Linked DNA regions of Canis lupus familiaris. The protein of the gene in region 4 interacts with the protein of the main gene of each other region in a pairwise test. Links are inferred from orthologs where the notes say so. Each region holds a gene or a part of one and is shown on either strand. Other genes may lie near its edges. The genes, in order: MTUS2, TCHP, CCDC33, NDOR1 and CIAPIN1.

What was found.
Region 1: the proteins of NDOR1 (region 4) and MTUS2 interact in binary tests that used the Homo sapiens proteins (3 or more experiments, as listed by UniProt). The two-hybrid records come from large-scale screens. The link is inferred for Canis lupus familiaris from reciprocal best matches to the Homo sapiens genes NDOR1 and MTUS2.
Region 2: the proteins of NDOR1 (region 4) and TCHP interact in binary tests that used the Homo sapiens proteins (3 or more experiments, as listed by UniProt). The two-hybrid records come from large-scale screens. The link is inferred for Canis lupus familiaris from reciprocal best matches to the Homo sapiens genes NDOR1 and TCHP.
Region 3: the proteins of NDOR1 (region 4) and CCDC33 interact in a two-hybrid assay, tested with the Homo sapiens proteins (2 studies listed by BioGRID and IntAct). The two-hybrid records come from large-scale screens. The link is inferred for Canis lupus familiaris from reciprocal best matches to the Homo sapiens genes NDOR1 and CCDC33.
Region 5: the proteins of NDOR1 (region 4) and CIAPIN1 interact in binary tests that used the Homo sapiens proteins (3 or more experiments, as listed by UniProt). The two-hybrid records come from large-scale screens. The link is inferred for Canis lupus familiaris from reciprocal best matches to the Homo sapiens genes NDOR1 and CIAPIN1.

What each region holds. Positions count from the first base shown.
Region 1 is NC_049246.1:11,012,810-11,017,024, reverse strand, and holds the start of MTUS2 (microtubule-associated tumor suppressor candidate 2), read left to right. Parts: upstream 1-1,415; 5' UTR 1,416-1,647; intron 1,648-4,215. UniProt on the Homo sapiens protein: Binds microtubules. Together with MAPRE1 may target the microtubule depolymerase KIF2C to the plus-end of microtubules. May regulate the dynamics of microtubules at their growing distal tip.
Region 2 is NC_049247.1:17,591,735-17,596,037, reverse strand, and holds the start of TCHP (trichoplein keratin filament-binding protein), read left to right. Parts: upstream 1-1,497; 5' UTR 1,498-1,651; intron 1,652-2,998; coding exon 2,999-3,192; intron 3,193-4,001; coding exon 4,002-4,212; intron 4,213-4,303. UniProt on the Homo sapiens protein: Tumor suppressor which has the ability to inhibit cell growth and be pro-apoptotic during cell stress. Inhibits cell growth in bladder and prostate cancer cells by a down-regulation of HSPB1 by inhibiting its phosphorylation.
Region 3 is NC_049251.1:37,908,067-37,911,577, forward strand, and holds part of CCDC33 (coiled-coil domain-containing protein 33), read left to right. Parts: intron 1-102; coding exon 103-271; intron 272-520; coding exon 521-609; intron 610-791; coding exon 792-923; coding exon of another isoform or gene 924-972; intron 973-1,018; coding exon 1,019-1,109; intron 1,110-2,009; coding exon 2,010-2,176; intron 2,177-2,469; exon of another isoform or gene 2,470-2,539; coding exon 2,540-2,641; coding exon of another isoform or gene 2,642-2,805; intron 2,806-3,208; coding exon 3,209-3,295; intron 3,296-3,511.
Region 4 is NC_049230.1:48,445,571-48,449,526, reverse strand, and holds the start of NDOR1 (NADPH-dependent diflavin oxidoreductase 1), read left to right. Parts: upstream 1-1,146; 5' UTR 1,147-1,251; coding exon 1,252-1,386; intron 1,387-1,485; exon of another isoform or gene 1,486-1,641; coding exon 1,642-1,719; intron 1,720-1,954; exon of another isoform or gene 1,955-3,956. Other genes in the region: TMEM203 (transmembrane protein 203), read right to left, coding at 470-880. UniProt on the Homo sapiens protein: NADPH-dependent reductase which is a central component of the cytosolic iron-sulfur (Fe-S) protein assembly (CIA) machinery.
Region 5 is NC_049223.1:58,254,967-58,258,477, forward strand, and holds part of CIAPIN1 (anamorsin), read left to right. Parts: intron 1-896; coding exon 897-973; intron 974-2,703; coding exon 2,704-2,872; intron 2,873-3,511. UniProt on the Homo sapiens protein: Component of the cytosolic iron-sulfur (Fe-S) protein assembly (CIA) machinery required for the maturation of extramitochondrial Fe-S proteins.

The DNA.
Region 1 (4,215 bases), on a different chromosome or scaffold from region 4:
AAGTTTTGATTTGGGTTGGGCTGGACTTTTTAACACTGGAGAATCAGCCTGTTTACTAACACTTAACAGCGGCAAGGCAAAGCTGTGAAAACTGTCCTAGATTCTTCCAAAGGGGAAGGGAGAGCTGACAGAATGATTTCAAAAGACAGTGTGGAAAAAAGGTGCTACTTCGCGATCCCCGGTCACCAAGTCGTTCAGCTTGTTTAAAAAGCTAACTTGTATAGAACACTATAGGTAACATGGTAGTTTGGAAAAAGACACCCTTAAAAGAAAGAAAAGAAAAGAAAAGAAAAGAAAAGAAAAGAAAAGAAAAGAAAAGAAAAGAAAAGAAAAGAAAAGAAAAACAAGCCCTAAATGGCACAAGGGGCAACATCACGGTTTCATTTTTTTTAATAGTAAACATTTGTTCCACTGCGGCTGAGCCAGAGGAGGAAGTTCTCTGATCTCAGTTGCCTTTTCAAACCTTCCAGGTGCGTTCCTAGGGAAGCCGGGGGCAGTTCGGGTAGGGCTGGAAAGGTCTTGGAGAAGTCCATGCGTCTATTTATGAGAGTGGCCAAGCTCTCTGCAGGCCCGCAGTATCAGGCACAGAAGCACCGGCTTCTAGAAGGACACGCCTGCCTTTTCTGCAGCCATTACCAGAGATTAGCTTTGGGTCCTTGTGAATCAGGAATCCTACTGCCCCCCCCCCCCCGACCCCCCAAGTTTTTCCCACTTCGGATCCCAGATTCCTCCTGCTGCCCGGAATTCGAATCTTGTCTCTCTCTTCCGTCCCAAGAGGAAAAACAGCGGATCCCGTTCTCGGACGCCGCCTCGGTCCTACTCCGTCCTTCCCCGGGGCCGCGGGGACCCTCGCGGCCCCGCGCCCCCGCCCGCCCCCGCCCGCCCCCGCCGCCGCCGGCCCGGAGCCCAACGCGGCGCGCACGGAGGCCCCGCGGCCCGCAGAGGGCGCTGCGGCTCCCCGGCGGCGCGGCTGCGGTCGGCGGGGCCGGGGCCGGGAGGAGGCGCCCGGGCCCCGGCGTGTGCGTCTCGGGGCGGCCGGGAGGGGGTGCGCGCCTCTGCCGCCCCGCGCCGCCCTCCCGCGCCCGCCCGCTCGCCGCCCCGCGCTGTCCCCCCGCCCGCCCCCGCCCCCGCCAGCGCCGCGCGCTCCGAGCCTCGGGCTTCGCCGCCGCCCGCCCCGCCGCCCGTCTTTGTCCGGGAGAGGCGGCCGGAGCAGCGGTGGCCGCGGCGGCCGAGCCGGGCGTGCTGTCGGCGGGCGCCGGCCGCGGGCCCCGGGGGCCGGGAAGCGCCCGCCGCGGGGGCGGAGGCGGAGGCCTGGGCGGTGCCCGCGCGAGGTGCGTGCGGGGGCGGGGCGCGGGCGGGGGCGGGGCCGGGGCCGGGGCGACGGTGCGGGCGAGCGCGCTGCAGGTGCGGGGGCGTCCCCGGCCGCGCCGCCTCCGCGGGCCTCTGGGGCAAGTTTGCCGCGCCCCTCCCCGCGGCCGACCTCCGTGGCCCGCCCGCCGCGTCCGGACCTGTCGCTAAATAGAAAACTCGAGCTGGAAGAGGCGGCGGAGGGAGCGGAGGAGGCAGCGCGTCGGCCGCGGGCCGGGACGGAGCCCCGTTGAGGGCAGCGGCGGCCTCTTGGACGGCTGCCCCCGCTCTTCCCACCAGGTGAGCGAGTCGGGCCGGGGCCACGCCCGCCGGCAGGTGGCCGAGTCGGGGTGACGGCAGCCGGGCTCGGAGCCGCGCCGCGCCGCGTTTACCTGGCTTTTCTGTGCTCGCGGCACTTCTTCCTTCCTGCCCGCACCACCTGCTCGGGCTGAGGTCTGGCAGCTCATTTGGCGCCTTCGCTGCTGCCAGGTCAAGCGTCCTGTTTCGGGAGGGGGTAGGTGAGCGGACCCGAGTCCTTCCCTCCGCCTCCAGCTTCGGGTAATTTGTTCTGTGCCTTCGTCTTAATTTAGTATGAATGTGTTATTTCCTTTGAGCTTTAGGATGATAAAGCAGTGAAGCGGTTTGCTACATCCATTTTTTTCCCCTTCTCATTCTGAGCCTGTGCACAGAGGAATTTCAGGCACAGAAGTGATGTTACTACCGTTCTATTTTAAATACAAACATGGAAAGAAGTACTCTTGGCAGGGTACCAAAGGCGCCTGTACTCTCTGTTATATAAGTACTTCAAAAAATAGTTGCTCATTGGTAAAGTTATAATAGTGATTACCAGAGCACCTGAGGAGAAGGGTTGAAGAGAAGTCAAAACTATTTTCAACCCCAACTTTACTTGAAGAGAAGCATGGTCTTAGCTTGAGGGATCCTTTAAGATGATCTAGGGAGGGCGCGTCCTTTGAACTCATTAGACAGATTTGCAAAACATTAAAAAGTAAAAGAGGTTCTGTAAAGGCTATTGAGAAACTTCGTGAAAAATTTTGACTACTTATTGATAGAAATAAAAACAGAAGATCCCACAGATCTCTCTTATGGCTTTCAAACTACTGAATGATTTTCTTTTTATATCTGGTAGAGACTTAGTAATTTTGAGCTATCGGTTATTAAAGATCCCTCCTCACTAAAACTTCTTGTATCCATGGTTATTTTCTTTTCAGGTAAGAAGAAGACAAAAATAGAAAACGTCGGAAATTCTGATGTCTAGGCACCCCCTCTTGTGCCCCCACCTTAGTATTCCTATCTGTTTTTAATTTATATTATCATGGTTTGGGGCGATGCTGAGGCATTTGAAATGTTAAAAGCTCTCTTGCTGATTCTTGTGCAGCCAGGGCTGAGACCCATTGGGGAGCACTGCTCCTTTTAGTTTTATCACCTTTTAGCCCAACATGTGGCTTCAGTGGTGTAAGGTAAATAAAAAAAAAAAGTGGTTAAAATTTGGGGGAGGTTATGCCTAGATGGCTCAGTTAGTTAAGCATCTGCCTTTTCTCAGGTCATGATCTCGGGGTGTTGGAATTGAGCCCCACATCAGGTTCCCTGCCCAGCGGGGATTCTGCTTCTCCCTCTTTCTGCTCCTGCTCTCTCTCTCCATCTCCCTCAAATAAATAAAATCTTTTAAAAAATGGGAAAGAAAAACAGTATTGGGAAGATGTGTCGAAGAATTATAGTATGTGCACTTTTGTATTGTATCCAGAGGTCTTCCTTGATTATTTTTTAAGCCTGCAGAAGTCCTTGTTGTTTCTCAGAGACCCATAATTCCAAGTAAAATATGTAGAGGAGTCCTAAGTGGGACATTTCTTTGTGCCGAGGTAATAGTGAAGTTGAGTATAGTGTCAGGGTTTTGCTTCTGGGTGCACGAAAAGATAATCCAGCCTTATTAAAAAAATCTAATTAAAAACTTAATGTAGACTAGTAAATTAAGTGTGAAAAGCTTTTTATTATTTTTAAGGTTGGAAATAGACCTGGCTGCTGACTCAGGGTTTTCTGTCTACCTTATGTAATTTCAAATATTCAGCTCTTATGGGTGGTTTATGAAGGCTTATGTAAGAACTATGCTTTTTCATACTCTGTTCAACTCTGTGTTTTGGCTATTACATAATTGACACAGTACTAGATTGTTAGAGCCCAAATAGGGGAAGGATGCACAACCCCAGGCCGGCACATGGACTTTTATAATGAATTGTGGCTGCCAAATTAGAGGGAACGGCAGGGATGGAGGTTTGTGAAAGAGAGATAAGAATAGCATCTAGAGGATTGATGTAATAGAATGCTGTTAAGCTTAGCGGTTTTCTAGAGATTTTAATGCTGCGGTATAAACCGCTCTAGTCTTTTATTTCTCCCAGCAGAGGCGGATTTACTGGGAAGCTAATGAATCTTAAACTTCAGGGCCCCTCACACAGGTTTCTTCTGAGCCCCTGGAAAGCCACTAGCAATGAGTTCACATGGTCATACCTAATTTTGTGTTTGCATTTTAGATTTTTTAAAAATAAGGATGACACTCTCTCCACCCCCCTGCCTCCCATCATATAAATGTAATGCTCTGCAAACTTGGAATCTCTTCTGGCTCTCAATTATTTTTGAATGTTAAGTTAACTTGTAAAAATGCTTTTTCTCCTTTTAACATCCCCAGTCTTCTGAAAAGACAAAATTTGAAATCTGGCCAATGGTGTAGTTGACCTACTGAAAAAGAGCAAAGTGCTATAACCTAGGGCTGTGTGGAGCTACTGAGATCAGGTGGTTACCTGGAGAACCAACTCTTTGCCTTGTGATTTTGCACAAATGGGGCTTTTTTTGGACCTG
Region 2 (4,303 bases), on a different chromosome or scaffold from region 4:
CACTGCTGGTATTCTTGTTAAAAGGTAAACTGAGGCACATTAATTTTTTTTTTCAAGAGTGTACTTGGAATATATCAATTTTAACTGGGTAGTGCCAGGCCAATGTGGGTAGGAACTCTCTGCCACACACAGGACCTGGGGGAGAGCTTTTTATTTTATTTTATTTTATTTTATTTTATTTTATTTTATTTTATTTTATTTTATTTTATAGAGAAGAGACAAAAGCAAAGCAAGGAAATCATTTTATTGGCTACAGCTTAAGTAGTTGCTTTATTTGGGCAAGGCTAGGTGGCTGTTTGACCTCACGTTTACTTTTTCTCAGATTTGAGAGCCTTGATTCTGGTGTTGGTTTTGGTTTGCTTGCTGGGCTAGCAAGGCATCAGAGCTGCCTCATCTAATGGTCTCCCTGTTCAATTACTTGACCATTCTCTTTTCCCAGAGAGGTGAGGTGAGGTGACCTGCCCGAGACCTCATAACTGGCTTGTGGGGGGGTCGGAATAGAGGCCAAAATGTTCAAGATACTGACTATGCTGTACCCAGAAAAAAACCCAGACAGATGAAAGAGAATGAAGGGAGGAATTAAGAGAATTAAACATGAAGAATGAGCAAACAAAAGAGGATAAATGAGTGAAGTCATCTTTATGACTTTTTTTAAGGTAAGTTTATTTAAACAAAATTTTAAACTATGCTTTATGGCCAACATGGGGCTTGAACTCATGATCTAGACATCAGGAGTGCGCAGGTTCCCCCAAATGAGCCAAGTGCACACCCCTTTACCACCGTTTTCATACATAAAATAATACATGGAACACATGTGAGTCCTGAAGCACCAATGAACACCCTTGTACCCACCACCAAGCTAGACAACAGTTACCAATAGCTTGTATGCACTTAGGTGACCGTTCTTGGAACCCGGGGCACACTGAGTGCATCTGGGGGCCCGACAACCCTGACAACTGGAGAACCTGATGGGATCGGCCTGGAGTTTGGTTCTTGCATCTGAATTTATTTGTTTCTTGTTTAAAGGCATCTGGACTTAAAAAAAAGAAAGCTCTATTTACTCCTGAGAGACACAGGCAGAGGGAGAGGCAGGCTCCGCGCAGGGCGCCCGACGCGGGGCTCGATCCCAGGTCCCCAGGATCACGCCCAACCGCGGAGCCCCGCAGGCGCCTCGGCAGCGGCCGTTTAAGACCCCCCCCCCCCCCCCCGGGTAATCTCCGTGTGCAGCCAGGCCCGAGACCCGCCCAGTCCTCACCTCGATCACCACCCCCCACCCGCGCCCTCCCGGGTAACTACCATCCTGAATTTTGCCTAGTCGTGAAGAGGCTTCTTTTTGCCTTCATCCTTCCTTGGTTCCGGGACTAGCGATGTTTGGGATTGATCTCCCGCCCCACCGCGAGAGGGCGCCAGAGGAAAAAAAGAAAAACCCAAACCAGCCTCCTTTCTCTCCGCGCGTTTGGGATCGCGCTGGAGGCAGCTTGGCCCTCGCGGCGCTCCGTCGTCGATCCGTTGCCCGGGCAACGGGCGGGGAAACCGCCGGCGTGGGGGCCGTGCGGCGCCGGGAAGGTGGCGGCGGGACGGGGCGGGCGTGGCTGGGGCATGCACGAGCTCGGCGGGGGCGCTTTTCGGAAACTCCGGGGCGCTGAGAAACGTGAGTCGGACGGTGGGCTCGGCCGGGCGGGTGTGGGCGCCGGGACCCCGTGGCCCCGCGCGGGCGGGAACCGTGGCGGACGTCCTGGGGCCCGGCCTCCCCGCGCCGTCCCCGCGCCGTCCCCGCGCCCCCTGCGGCCGTCCTGCGCCCTCCCCGCACCCACCCTGCGTCTGTCCCGCTCCCCCCCCCCCCCCCGCGCGTTCCTTGCGCCCCCTGCGGCGGTCCTGCGCCCTCCCTGCGCCCTCCCTGCGCCCTCCCTGCGCCTTGCTCTGCAACTCCTTTTGTCTTAGGAGGCTGTCTTAGGGGCTGAGAGAAAGAGGCGATCCGGGACCAGTCTTGTTTCTTGATTCCTGGTGCAGAGCTTTTCATGGGGTGCTTTTGGGGCAGGGAAAACGTGATGCCAGTCCGCCCCAGTTTCAAGACAGGCTGTAAACTGGCAGCCGCAGACCATGAACGCACATTATGTTCTTGCAGGTCTGAGCACTGAGTTTGAGGCTTGGCCTGGACCCAGACTTCTAAGCATATTCAGGAAACATTCCATGAGCACTGTGGTAGCCAGACACTGTGTAGGCCCTGCCCATCGGGGCAGCCCTGGGGTCAGGGAGAGGGGTGCCTGGACTGAGACTGCTGCCTGCTTTCAAGTCTCCATTGTGTCCCCGTTTTGCGTCGTGACCTGGGCAACTCGATTCCTTTCTGGGTCTCAGTTTCTCCATTTCTAAGTGGAGGAATGTCACCCCCGTGCTAATCCAGAACACTTCCAGGTGTGACAGCCAGGCTGGAGCACTCCCTGGGGGTTGCCTGACCCAGGGCCTGTTGGTCCCCATGGGCAGCCTATTGACATCTACAGAGCCCAGGCCCTGGTCTGACACTGGCGTGAATTAGGTTCCCAGCCCTTTCATCTCTTCTGCTTCCTGGCTCTGTGGTCTTGGGCAAGTCACTTTACCATTTTGAACTTGAGTTTGCTCACCTGCCAAATAATGGGGTGATTTTAACAATGAAAAAGATCATGTATGCCAAGAGCTTGGCACATATATACATTCCTGAAATCGTTATCCCTGTTACTTGGTGGAGAACATAGAAGCCCCCAAGTGCTTGGGTCAGCATTGGTTCCAGTCTTCGTCTGCAACGCCCTTGATGATGTCTGGCTCACAGCTGGGTGCAGTCCAGGCTCATTTAAAATAATGATATGCAAGTCATTTTAAAAATGCTGATGCCTGGGGGCGGGCACTAAGACTTCTGGTGTCATTGGTTTGGAGTGGGGTAATTCCAGGGGGCAGCCAAGGGGTGAGGACCGCTCATTAGGGAGCTGCAGCAGGCCCATTTTCGTACCATTGCCATTCTCTTCAGATGGCACTTCCCACGCTGCCCTCCTACTGGTGCAGCCGGAGGCTCCTGGACCAGCAGATGGCCCGACAGCGACACCGAGAGCAGGAGGCCCGGCTTCGGCAGCAGTGGGACCAGAACAGCCGCTACTTCAGGATGTCTGATATCTGTAGCTCCAAACAGGCGGAATGGAGCTCCAAGACCTCCTACCAGCGGAGGTACCTGCTGGGACCTTGGTGGGACAAAGGCAGGAAGCCACTTGTTGGTTACGGCTTGTGGCTTTAAGAACCCCTGGCGGGGGATGGGAAGGTAGAACATGGCTTAACAGCATGTTTTCTTGAATTTGCTGGACGGCATAGATGACTTGCATGGTGATGTTTACTGACCATTGAAAAGGAAGATCATCATGAAATGATATGTTTGCACTGAAAAGGAGAAAAGAATAGGAAATACATGTAGAATTTGGGAGTCTCCTGGTAACCCTAGATCCCCTGAGGGAACTACAATTAACAGTCTAATATGGATCCTCCTGTGCTTTTCCCCAGTTGTGTGTGTATAAATATACATATACATGTACATCCTTTGTTGCAGAAATATGTGTAAAGATGTGAAAGTTAAAAGCATAGGCTTCAGAGTCAGACAAACCTAGATGGAAATCCTGACTGTGTCACTTGCTGTAGGAATGAGCCTCAGTTTCTTCTTCAGTGAAGTAGGGCTACAACAGGACCTCCTTTGTAGGACTTTTGATTAATAGAAAGCCATCCATGTACATAGTATCTGGTACATGGTTACTGGTCAAAGTTAGCTGGTACATGCATATATGAGACCACTGTACATTTTCTTTTCACAAAAACCAGATTCTGTTATGCATAGTGTTCTGTGACCCGCTGTCTTTGCTTCGGCTGGAAGACACTTGCCCGTGTCACCATGTCATGTCCGCCTCAGCCTCCTTTGCCACGCATCAGAGCAGAGCATGCCATGTGTGGCTCTAGTGCGGCTGATTTAGGGAGGGCTCCCTCTCACCCAGCATGTATGCCTATCAGCGTGAGAAGATGAAGGAGGAGAAGAGGAAGCAGCTGGAAGGCAGACGGGAGAGGCTCAGGCAGCTGCTGCTGGAGGAGCAGGAGCTGCTGGCCAGAGAACTCGAGGCGCTGCGGTTAAGCATGGACTTGCGGGAGGGAAGAATCCGGGAGCGGCACGGCAGTCTGAAGTCGGCCCGAGAAGAGCAAAGAAAACTGGTAACTTCTAGCCCTTTAGGAGCAACAGAGCAGGAGTGTCCCCAGCTTGTCAGTGACATGTGGGATCACGGCTGGGCACTCTGGGCTGATC
Region 3 (3,511 bases), on a different chromosome or scaffold from region 4:
TGGAGTTCAGTCTGTTCGTTGGCCCGCTGACTTGCAAGTGTGGATGTGGGGTGGGGATCCCAGGGGGGCTGGGGACCAGCTTCTGAGCTCTGGGACCCACAGGAGTTGAACAACTACCGGCGGGCCATGCAGAAGATGGCAGAGGACATCCTGTCCCTGCGGAAACAGACCAGCATGCTGGAGGCCGAGAACCGCATGCTGAGGAGCCAGCTGACCCAAGAGGAGGGGGAAGAGGAGCAGGACAACAGCAACGCCCAGAAGCTGGATGAGGGTACACGGGCCACGGAGGGCATCCGGGGGCCGGCCTGAGCCCAGGCTCTGGATGGCGGGCCAGGGTGGGTGGAGCCTTTCCCAGGCGTGCCTGCCCCTGGACACCAGCAGGGGCCCACACCCTCTCAGGAACGGGAACGGAGACTCCAGTCCTCTGTCTCAAGCCCCGGGACTGAGAGACCCCTGCCCCCACCCAGCTGTGCTGAGCTGGAGATGCCTCTTCCCTGAGCCAGCTCCCCTCCCCCACCAGTGTCCATGAAGCAGAAACTGGTGCTGAGTGAGCTGGACATGAAGAAATTGAGGGACAAAGTGCAGTATTTGCAGAATGAGCTGATTCGAGTGAGCCGGGGCTGGGGGAGCTGAGGGGAGGGGAGCTGGGGGGTATTCAGCCAAGAGTCTGGGAGCAGATGGGAGAGAGGCATGGAGGGATGGGCTCACCGTAGTGGAAGGCTCAGGGGAGGGCCCCAGTGTGACCCGAGGCACCCCTTCTTTCCCCATCCCCCTCCTTCCCCCACCATCAGAAGAATGATCGAGAGAAGGAGCTGCTCCTCCTGCACCAGGCTCAGCAGCCACAGGCCACGCTGCTGAAACGGTACCAGGACAAGCTGCAGAAGATGAAGGCGCTGGAGGAGACCGTGCGGCACCAGGAGAAGGCAGGGGTCACAGGGGACAGCCCGCCAGGCGCCAGCCTCGGAGCACAAGGTGGGGAGACCCCCGGCCAGCCCAGCCTCTGTGCTCTGCCCTCCAGGTGATCGAGAGGATGGAGCGGGTGCTGGAGGACAAGCTGCGGGATTGGAGGGAGCCCCTGCTAAACAGGCCTCAGGGAAAGCCTCCCATGGGTGCGTCTGCTCCCCGGCCTTTGTCCCACCCCTGGGGGCCCCGGCTACCCGCAGCAACGGCTCCGAGGGCAGAACTGGGGCAAAGGATGCTACCTCCCTACGGATGCAGGCAGGGAGGGGCTCTCAAGGGTCCCCTGGGCTCCCTTCTGCCAAGGAGCCCCTCAGGATGCATCGGGACCGTGTGTGAGCCAGGCTGGAAAGAGAGCGGGTCCTGCTCAGACCCCAGAGGAGACGCCCCCTGTTCTGGAGCAAGCAGTCAGGGGCTGCCCGAGAGGAGGGGCGGCCTAACCCTTCCCGGTACCTCCTCGTCTCCCCAAGTTCTCAGGGAGTCTGCTTCTACAGAACAAACAGTACTGGCCTTGATGTTAAGCAAAGCCACCTAGAACTGGCCAACTGGGTGGCTCAGACGAGCTGGGGAGAAGCGGGGGGGCCCAGGCAGGGAGCCCCCGAGCCTCCCGTGCAGCCTCACTGAGAAGCCCTGTGTGCCCAGCCCGCGTCAGCCTTCAGTGCATGGGGTGTTGGCGGGGGGCGCTTCGGGAGGCCTTCGGGAAGCAGCGCAAGCCGGGGCTGCCTTCCAGGCACCCCAGCGTCATCCCAGAGCGGGGCCGAGGGGGGCCGAGGGGGGCCGAGGGCTCAGAGCATGGGCAGACCAGGGGCGGGAAGGAAGGAAAGAGAGCGGCAAAGAGCTACAATAGACCCAGGGCCAACAGGGAGCACTGGGGGCGGGTTCTAAGGAGCCTAGAATGATGCCTGAGGCCTGTGGCCCCGGTTCCGTGGGCGGCAGGGAGCCACGGAAGACTTGGGAGCAGAGGAGGAGCAGAATGGAGCACAACCGGGGCGGAGCAGCCCGGGGGCGTGCGGACGGGAAAGCCCATCTCAGAGCCTGTGGCCCGTCCGCAGCCTTCCCCGTGCTCCCAGCCTCCGGCCTTCCGCTGGGGACCGCAGGAGAGCCCCTGCCTGCCGACCTGTACTCAGCCTTGCTGGCAGAGAACTCCCGGCTGCGGGCAGAGCTGGAGAAGAACCGCCACCAGCCGGCCCCCATCATCCTGCAGCAGCAGGCCCTGCCGGTAAGAGCCACCAGCACCCACTCGGCCCGGGCCGCCCCAACAGGTGGTGGGTGCGTAGCGGTCTCACCCAGCACAATCCGAGTAGAAGACCACGACCAGGCGCTGGGCTTCCGGGGTCTCCAGCGCACCCCCAGCCCTCGGGCCTGCTCTTTTCTCCCGGGGGGAGCACACGTGGGCCTGCAGCCTCCACATTTGCCCTTGGCTAGCAGCCTGGGAGAAAGCAGGTCCCTCGTGGCCCCTGACCTTTGATCCCTATTGCCACCTGGCTGGCCTGCACTTGGACTCGGCGCCAGCCTCTCTGAGCTCTGTCCTGGAGCATTTCCTGGGATGGTACAGCCTTGGAGAGCCTTTTCCCCATCCCAGGAGGACCCCGGGGAGTTGGGAACAGGAGGAGACCTGGCAGAGAGACTGCAAGAGACAGATGGCCCAGGCCACTCCAAGGGCACAGAGACCTTGCCCGCACAGGTGGGTGTCCCGGCCCCAGAAGTGCCCGAGCCCCGCTCCATCTCCAAGGCTGCTGCCGGCACCCCTGCTTTATGCAAACCCAAAGACAAGACACTGGAATTACAGAAGAGGGGTGGGCAGGGAGCCCAGGAGAGCTCTTCTGTTCATCCCGGGACTTGCAGGAGGTGAGTTCTGTTAGAAAGCACACCTGATGCATGGACATCCAGGTAAAGTGCGGGGACAGGGGAGCCCTTGCTTCCATAGTCTTCACTTTACAAAAAAGACACCCTCCTCCAAGATTCCTTGCTGGGCGCTCTCGGGGGCTGCTTAGTGAGGTTTATGGTTAGAAAGTGACTTGCAGAAACTCCGCATAAGCGAAGTCCCTGGGGGAGGACAGGGGTGACAAAAGCACCTGCCATCTCAGGTCAGCTTCGGGAGGAGGGTTCGGCGCTGGGCCTGAGGCTCTGCACTGGGGAGCTGGGAACTCAGACCTGGCTGGCGTCTCCCTCAGTGGCTCACGGCCCCCCGAGCCCCCACGGCTGCGGACCCCGCGGGAGCCGGGTGGGTGAGTCTCCGCTCCGCCCGCAGGATCTCCTTGCCAGCACTTCGGACAAGTTCAGCCTTCTGGCCAAGCTAGAACGAGCTCAGAGCCGGATCCTGTCCCTGGAGAGCCAGGTAGGTGAGCCAGGCAGGGGCCAGTCAGGCTGGGCACACTCGCCACTCAGCCCTTGACCTTTAGGCTCCCAAGTACGGCCAGGGTTGTGACTCCGTGTGTGACCAGGGTCAGGGCTCAGCGTATTGTTGGAACTCAGAGAAGGTCTGTCCGTGTCTGGATCAGGCTGCCCCTCCCCACCCACCCCTGCCACACCTGATGTGTCTGGAAGGCAGCAG
Region 4 (3,956 bases):
AGTCTTGTCTGGATAGATGGGGCAGTGAGCTCTTGGGTTAGTGCTGCTGGGCAGAGGAAATCCCCAAGTCCAGCTTTGCAGCTTTTGCATATGGAGTACTTCCCCAAGATCCAGGAAAATACTCTGAGCCCATCAGGACATTTTAAGTATATGTAGCTTCCAACTGTCAAAGGAATTCTGTACTGTCTGGTGTGGGGTCCTTCTCAGGATCTCAACTCGTGATTACCTATTCAAAACATGAAATAACAAGAAATACATTTTAAGGATCAAGGCTGCTCTTTTTAGCTTTGCTGAGGGAACAATTTTAGACGATTGGTATAGAGAAAATTGAGCACTCGCCAGAGCAGCAGCTGGCTTTGCTTTCAGACCCAGACTTCTCCTTTGGTACGGTGGAAGGCCCCTTTAGGGCCTCAGCTCGGGGTCCAGCATCCAAGCTATCCAGAGTTCTTTCTCCCGCCTTTCTGCGAGGTTAGTTGACCCTACAGGCACGGATCATGAGCAGCTGCAGAAGAATGAAGACCGGAGACGTGATCAAGCCAAACCAGAGTTCCCGAGTCTGTTCTACCAGCTTCTGGCACAACAACATCTCGAAGACAAACTTGAGGCTAAGAACCGTGAGGACCCAGAAGAGGCGGAGCACAGCCAACCGCTTCTCTCCGTCCTGGAAGAGGCGTACAGACACGATGGTGGTGAAGTAGGTGCTGAGCCCATCAGCGGCGAAGAAGGGCACGAACACGTTCCACCACGAGAGGCCAGGGGCCAGGCCGTCCACCCGCAGCGCCAGCAGCACAGAGAACACCAACAGGGCCAGCAGGTGCACGAAGATCTCGAAGGTGGCGAAGCCCAGCCACTGCACCAGCTCCCGGAGGGAGAAGAGCATCGCGCCGGTTTAGCGCGGGCCGCGGCCCGGCCGAGCGTCTCACCCACGGGACTGCTCCTCCTCTCCCCGCGGGCCTCGCCGGCACCTGCCGCCGTCGCTGCTGCGGCGAGCAGGACACGGCGAGTGGTTCTGCCTGTCCCCGCCTTCGGCCCTGGCGTGGCGCCAACACCCCGGCCCCGGTCCGGGACCCAGTACCGGCCGCTAGCGGACGCCAGCCTTCCTCGGACGCCATGCCCAGCGGGGCGCGTCCTGAGTGCGTCACTTCCGGACGCCGCCAGAAGTCGGAAGTCCCCGCGGATCCGGCTGCCGGGGCTGGCGGGACCTGCCGGCCGTTTGAGTTCCCGGGTGCAGGGCTCTCCGGGCGCGCCCAGATGCCGAGCCCGGGGCTTCTGGTGCTCTTCGGCAGCCAGACCGGCACGGCTCAGGATGTGGCTGAGAGGCTGGGCCGCGACGCTCGGCGCCGGCGGCTCGACTGCCGCGTGCAGGCCCTGGACTCGTACTCGGTGGTGAGGGCCCCCGCGGCCCCGGCGTGCAGACCCAGCTGGCCTGGGGCGTCAGGGCGCCGCATCCTAGCCGACAGCGGGCCCTGCCTTCATGGTGGACTTAGGGCGCGGGAAGCCGGGGTCGGCAACGAGTGGGCAGGGGGGTGGGGGTGGACCCTGACCGAGCAGGTTTAGGCCTCTTGCTCCAGCAGCCTGAGTGGTGGCGAGGGGGCCTGGTCCTTACAGCCTGAGGCCTTACATGTGTGTCTTTTCATTGAGGTGAATCTGATTAATGAGCCCCTGGTGGTATTTGTTTGTGCAACTGCAGGCCAAGGAGAACCCCCCGACAACATGAAGGTAAGGCTGGCTCCTTTGTGGAGCTCAGATTGCTGCCCTGGACCCTCACTGTCCTATCGTTGCCCGAGTGTCCCATAAGCACAATAAACAGTTGCCCTCCCATAGGTGCTGTCAGCTTTGAATGTGGAAGGGTGTCCTGGGGTGGAGCTGGAGGCTTTAGCTGTCCTCTCTAATAAACTCTTCACGGGCACCAAGTAGCCTTCTTCTGCATTTTAACCTTTAATATTTTCTCCAGGGCTGTGTATGGATCAGGTGGTCTATGTGTGTATTTCAAAACCAGGACTTTACCAGAACATTCTTCAGTTCCTTCAACATTCTTGAGCATACACTGTATTCCAAGCGTGATCTAGGGCTGGGCATCCAGCCATGAACCTATTTCTGTCCTCGTGGAGCTCACAATAGAGCAAAAGCAACAATTTTCACAGGCAGTTACGATACTAGGAGATACATGCTGCCAGGGAAAGTGCCAGATGCCATGGGGCATTAATACAAACTTTCTAGCCCAACCTGGGGCCTTAGGGAGAGCTTTCTGGAAGGAAGGCTTGTAGGGCTAAGTCTTGAGGGGGAAGTGGGGCTGGCCTGTGCAGAGGAGAAAGACTACATCTGGGAAGACCAGGAAGCATTTCAGTGTGACAGTGCCAAGGAGAGCACGAGGGTGGGAGGAGAGATGGGATGCAGGAGGCCAGGCCTGGCTCCAAGCAGCCCAGTAGCCACAGTAAGGTGGACGACTCGAGGTGAGGAGCCATGCAATCCACTGGGTGATTCAGGCACATTTGTATTCCAGCAAAACTGCCACTTGCTAATGGGGAGGGCAGGGTACAGGAGAGCAAGAACCCCAGAGGATGCACCCTGCGGGCAGTAGGCTGGTGGCCTGAGCCAGGATGATGTCAGGCAGTGGAAAAATAGACGTGTTCCTGAGATGTTAGGTAGAACCCAGAGAGCATGGAATCAGGTTCAGGCTGGAGGACCAGAATGGATGGCAGTTCCGTGCACAGAGGGACCAGGAAGGCCAAGTGCTAGAAGTTGTCCAGGTGGAGATGCAGGTTTGTGTGGAGATCTAGCAAGGATCTTGGGTGAGGCGTGAGCCAGGACACACCTTCTCCTGGGACAAGGTGCCCTGAGCACCAAGGCCGTGAGAGGTGGAGGAGGACAGGGCAGGAAAGCGGCCCCCACACAGTCAAGAGGGTCAGGGGCACAGAAGTGACTTGTGAGAAGAAGGTTTGCAGCACCCAAATCTGCACAGAAATGAAGTGAGAGAAGGCATGAGCGGCACTAGTCAGGTTTATCAACAAAGGGACTGTGATCGTGACCGTGGGGAAAACAGTTTCAGTAACTCACAGGGAGTGAAGAGGGTCACAGGCTCAACCAGTGAGTGAGTGTAGAAAATCTGCATTGAACCAACTGGTGCCTGGCGGACTCAGTCCATTAGGCGTCCAACTTGATCTCAGCTGAGGTCACAGCCTCAGGGTCTTGAATTCAAGCTCCGTGCCCAGTGTGGAACTTACCCAAAAAAAAAAAAAGATTCTGGCTGTGAATGGGGCTAAGGGGTTGGAAAGAAAGTATTACTAAGATAAGAGAGAGCTGTTATATACTGGGAGGGGAGGTGCAGAGCACAGGGGCAGCCAGAGGCTTAAGATTAAAGAGCAAGGTCACTGTAGGGACAGAGTAGGACACCTGGGGCTGAGACCCTAGCACAGTCAGGAGGGGTCTCCCTAGACAGGAAGAGGCACAGGAGAGGAGGCAAATGTGAGGGGATCAGATGCAGAAGGGTGGGTGCCCAGGACACAGGGCCTGGGAGGGGAGAGGAGACAGAGTTTGCTGAGGTGAGCTGGGCTGGGGTACAGGCTGGATGTCAGCAGGAGGGGGCGAAGGTCATCCCCGGATGACTACAGGCATAGACACCACCATGGGAGTGGTCAGCAGGGGGCCCTCCCCAACCAGAGCAGGGCCTGGAGGCTCCTTGGAGAAGCTGCAGACTGAGGTCCCAGGGACATGGAGGAAGGGGCATGACGCCTGCTGAAGACCCGGTTTAGTGACCAGCTGCACAGAGGGGACCCCTCTGTAGGGCAAGGAAGTCACCAGAGTGGAAGACCCGGCAGGATCCTGGCTGGAAGACCTATGTGGGTGACAGGCCTGAGCTCATGGTTTCCCGTCAGCTTCTTAACTACAAATAGGCCACAAAGAACCACCACAGCCTCAGAAAGACACCACTGCAAGAAACCCAGATATAACCTGGG
Region 5 (3,511 bases), on a different chromosome or scaffold from region 4:
GAGGCAGAGGATATGTGAGCCTGGAAAGGGGTCTCAGGAGGGCTCCTTGTGACTGTGGAAGTGCTCACATGAAGCTGTGAGCATGGTAAGATTGCACAGAGCTGTGCACACCCAGACAAGTGCATGCAAAACTGGTGAGATCTGGGGAGCTCTGTGGACCCTGAGTGATAACTTCCCAGTCTTCTAGTGTGCGGTACTTGTGTATGTTCCCATGGGGGAAACAAGGAGAAGCATCCTTTTTTTTTTTTTTTTTAAATCTTCCTATGCATCTATAGTTATTTCAGAATAAAAAGTTAGAAAATAATGACTGGAAGTCTGGGAGTGATGAGTCGTAATTATTGACTCATATGAAACTAATGATAGGACCCAGGAAATAAAAACCTCTCTTTTTTTTGCTCAGTGATGAAGCTGTCACTTCTGAATTTGTTCCGTTTTCCATCAGTATGTGATGACTCAATTTGTAAATGCAACCAGAGAACGAAAGTATTTTGAAATATGTAAAAGCATTTAGTGGGAATAGAAACTTGTGACGGACACGGCATATGCCAGTGTTCTTTGTTGGAAGTGTAGACCATGGGAAGCTGCAGTGTCTCTCTTGTAGGAACTGCGCAGAGAGTATACTTGTGTGCTTTCTGAGTCCTCAGCCTCCTTTTCACTCAGTGTCCAGAAACCCCAGAAAGTTTCTTCCAAGAAGCCAGGAGAGACAGGACAATAACAATAGAATTATTCTCTGACACTTAAGGGAGTAGGTAAGCACGTACTGAACAACCAGAAGGATTTGTCAAATTAAAATACTGTCACGATCACTTTTATTGCCAGCTGACGCAAATAGGATCCTTTTTGATTTTTCCTGTTTTGGCCCATGAAGCTGCTAATCGGGGTTTTCCTCTTGGCAGTTAACAACAGCAAAGTGAGGACAACATCTAAGCTGTGTTCGGCCCTGACTCTTTCTGGTCTCGTGGAAGTGAAAGAGGTATGTTAGTAGACCACCTCCTTTGCTGGGAACTGAGACCTTGGGTGACCACACCCAGGATCTCTGTCCATAGATCTGGGGAGAATGAGGGAGTAACAGCATGGAAAATGAGGGGTGCAGTGTCACGTAGACTGGGAAGCAAACTGGGAAGTGCTTTGCATGTAAGATACACAGTGTCTCAAAGGACAGAACCTCTGAAACAACTCTCCTTTGAATAGACTCAGCTTGGGCCCCTGTGGGTTGGGGCATATTCTGGTCTCAGTACTGGTGGAGTGGTGGCGCCCATGTTTCAGGGAGAGAGCAACACGGGTCCCTTAATGAACACAAATCCTAGGCCCAAGTGAAACACGGGCACCTGAATCATCCTCAGGTGTTTGGTGGAGGCTGGAGTGGGTCAGGGAAGAATATCCCACTTCTGACAATTCAGTAAAAATACTTAGATTAATTAGAGGTGTTCCTATTTCTACATCCTTCTTTGATGTTGAAATTTTCTTGTGTGAGAGGAAAGTGCTGTACCGTGATAAGTGTTATACCACGGATTTGAGTCAGAGGCTCTACCACTGAGCTGTACCCTCCCGCCCCTTCCGTGCCACAGATTGGCAGCATGACCTAGGGCCTTAGTTTCTTTATGCCCATACTTGCTTATTTTTCTTTTTAGTTTAAGGTTTTCCGGGTTTTTTTGTTTGTTTGTTTTTGTTTTCCGTTTTTTTTTTTTAATCTAAAATAAGAGATGCTCATATAAATTCAATTAATACTAGAGAATATAAGGACGCCTGGGTGGCTCAGCAGTTAAGCGTCTGCCTTCAGCTCAAGTCATGATCCCGGGGTCCCAGAACCGAGTCCCACATTAGGCTCCCGCAGGGAGCCTGCTTCTCGCTCTGCCTGTGTCTCTATCTCTCATGAATAAATAAATAAAATCTTACCCCCCCAAAAAAAATACTGGAGAGTATAGAATTATAAAGTGACATTCCAGGCCTTCCTCACACTTCCCTCCCAAGAGGAAGCCACCAACACATTTTTATGTGTTACTGCTCAGACCTCTGTGAGTGTGTGTGTGACAGGGAGAGACAGGTACTTGTTTAATGTAAATGAGGTCATATGTATACATTATTCAATTACTAGCTTTTTCCACCTTTAAATATCTTCAACATTTATCTATCCCAGTGCATTGCCCCTCACTCTTATTAATGATGTAACAATATTGAGTGCTGTGGAGCAGCTGTGATTTATTTAACCATTCTGTAGTTGCTGGACACAGGTGGCACTCCCACATTGTTTTCTACCTTTATTGTCCGCTGCTTCTTCCCAAGAAAACATTTCCCCCACCTTTATGGTTTTTTTCTCTATTTTATTTCTACTATGTTTATTGTGCGCCTGCCTCTATGTAGTACACCATGAGGCATCATCCTATTCAGGATGCCTGACTCATCTTGATAATCATAATCATTATAACCCGCAGAACAACTGGCACAGTGCCTTGTACCTAATAGACAGGGATTGGTAAATACTTGAAAACTTTCCAGAGGGTTGGCTCAAAGTAAGCACATAAGCAAAGTAGCACTCTAGAGTACAGATCACTGAGAAACTGAATGTGATGATGTCTATCATCTCCTGATATTATGCACTTCGTAACACAGAAATGAGTATTTGACACCTGTATGGGTGGACTTAGTATGACATCATTTTGTGGAAAGAGTGTGACCTACTTCTTTTGATGTCTTGAATTCTAGCTGCAGCAGGAGTCCTTGAGCCCCAAGGAGATACAGTCTGTTCAAGAACACCTGGGTTACCAAAGTGACAACTTGCTCTCTGTGCACATCACAGGCAAAAAACCCAACTTTGAAGTGGGTTCTTCTAGTCAACTGAAGCTTTCTCTGGCCAAGAAGGCTTCTCCCCCGGGTAAGAGTGGCCTGGGGGCATTGTTCTGTCTGGGTGAGCCTAGAAAGACAACTCAGATGTTGAACCAGAGATCTAGACAGAGACAGTGAGGTCTCCAGAGGATTAGTCCTTCCTTCATCTCTGTCATTTCCAAATGGAAAAATGTTTCATGTTCTGTTGTCCTGGGCGTATTCAGATTCTGATGTGAAATAGCACATTAGCTATTACCTCATTTGGCCTCTTCTGCTCTTAGGACACTGAGGCCTCCAGATTCTAGAAGCCTGAGCTACATGATTTAGCTAATGAAGTCTTTCCACACCCCAGAATTACCACACTCATCCTCAGGAGCTCTCGCAGTGGTGGTCGTGGTTGATAAGAGTAGCCTGCACCTCTTCCCATGGGTCCTTTCTATGCTAGTAAAGTCAGCTTTTCTTACTTTGAGGATCTTAAGCCACTTGTAAAAGTATTTCTCCTCAGACAGTTGTACCCGCCCTTTGCCACCCCCTCACCTCATCACTGTTTCATGATGCCTGAATCAAGAGAAATTGCCCAACCATGAGGTATGCAAACATTTGCAGGTACATTCACACTCCTCTGCTTTGACTGGCCAGCCAAAATCTTTAAGAAATCTGCTGGAATCCCAGCCTCTGCTTCCAGAAT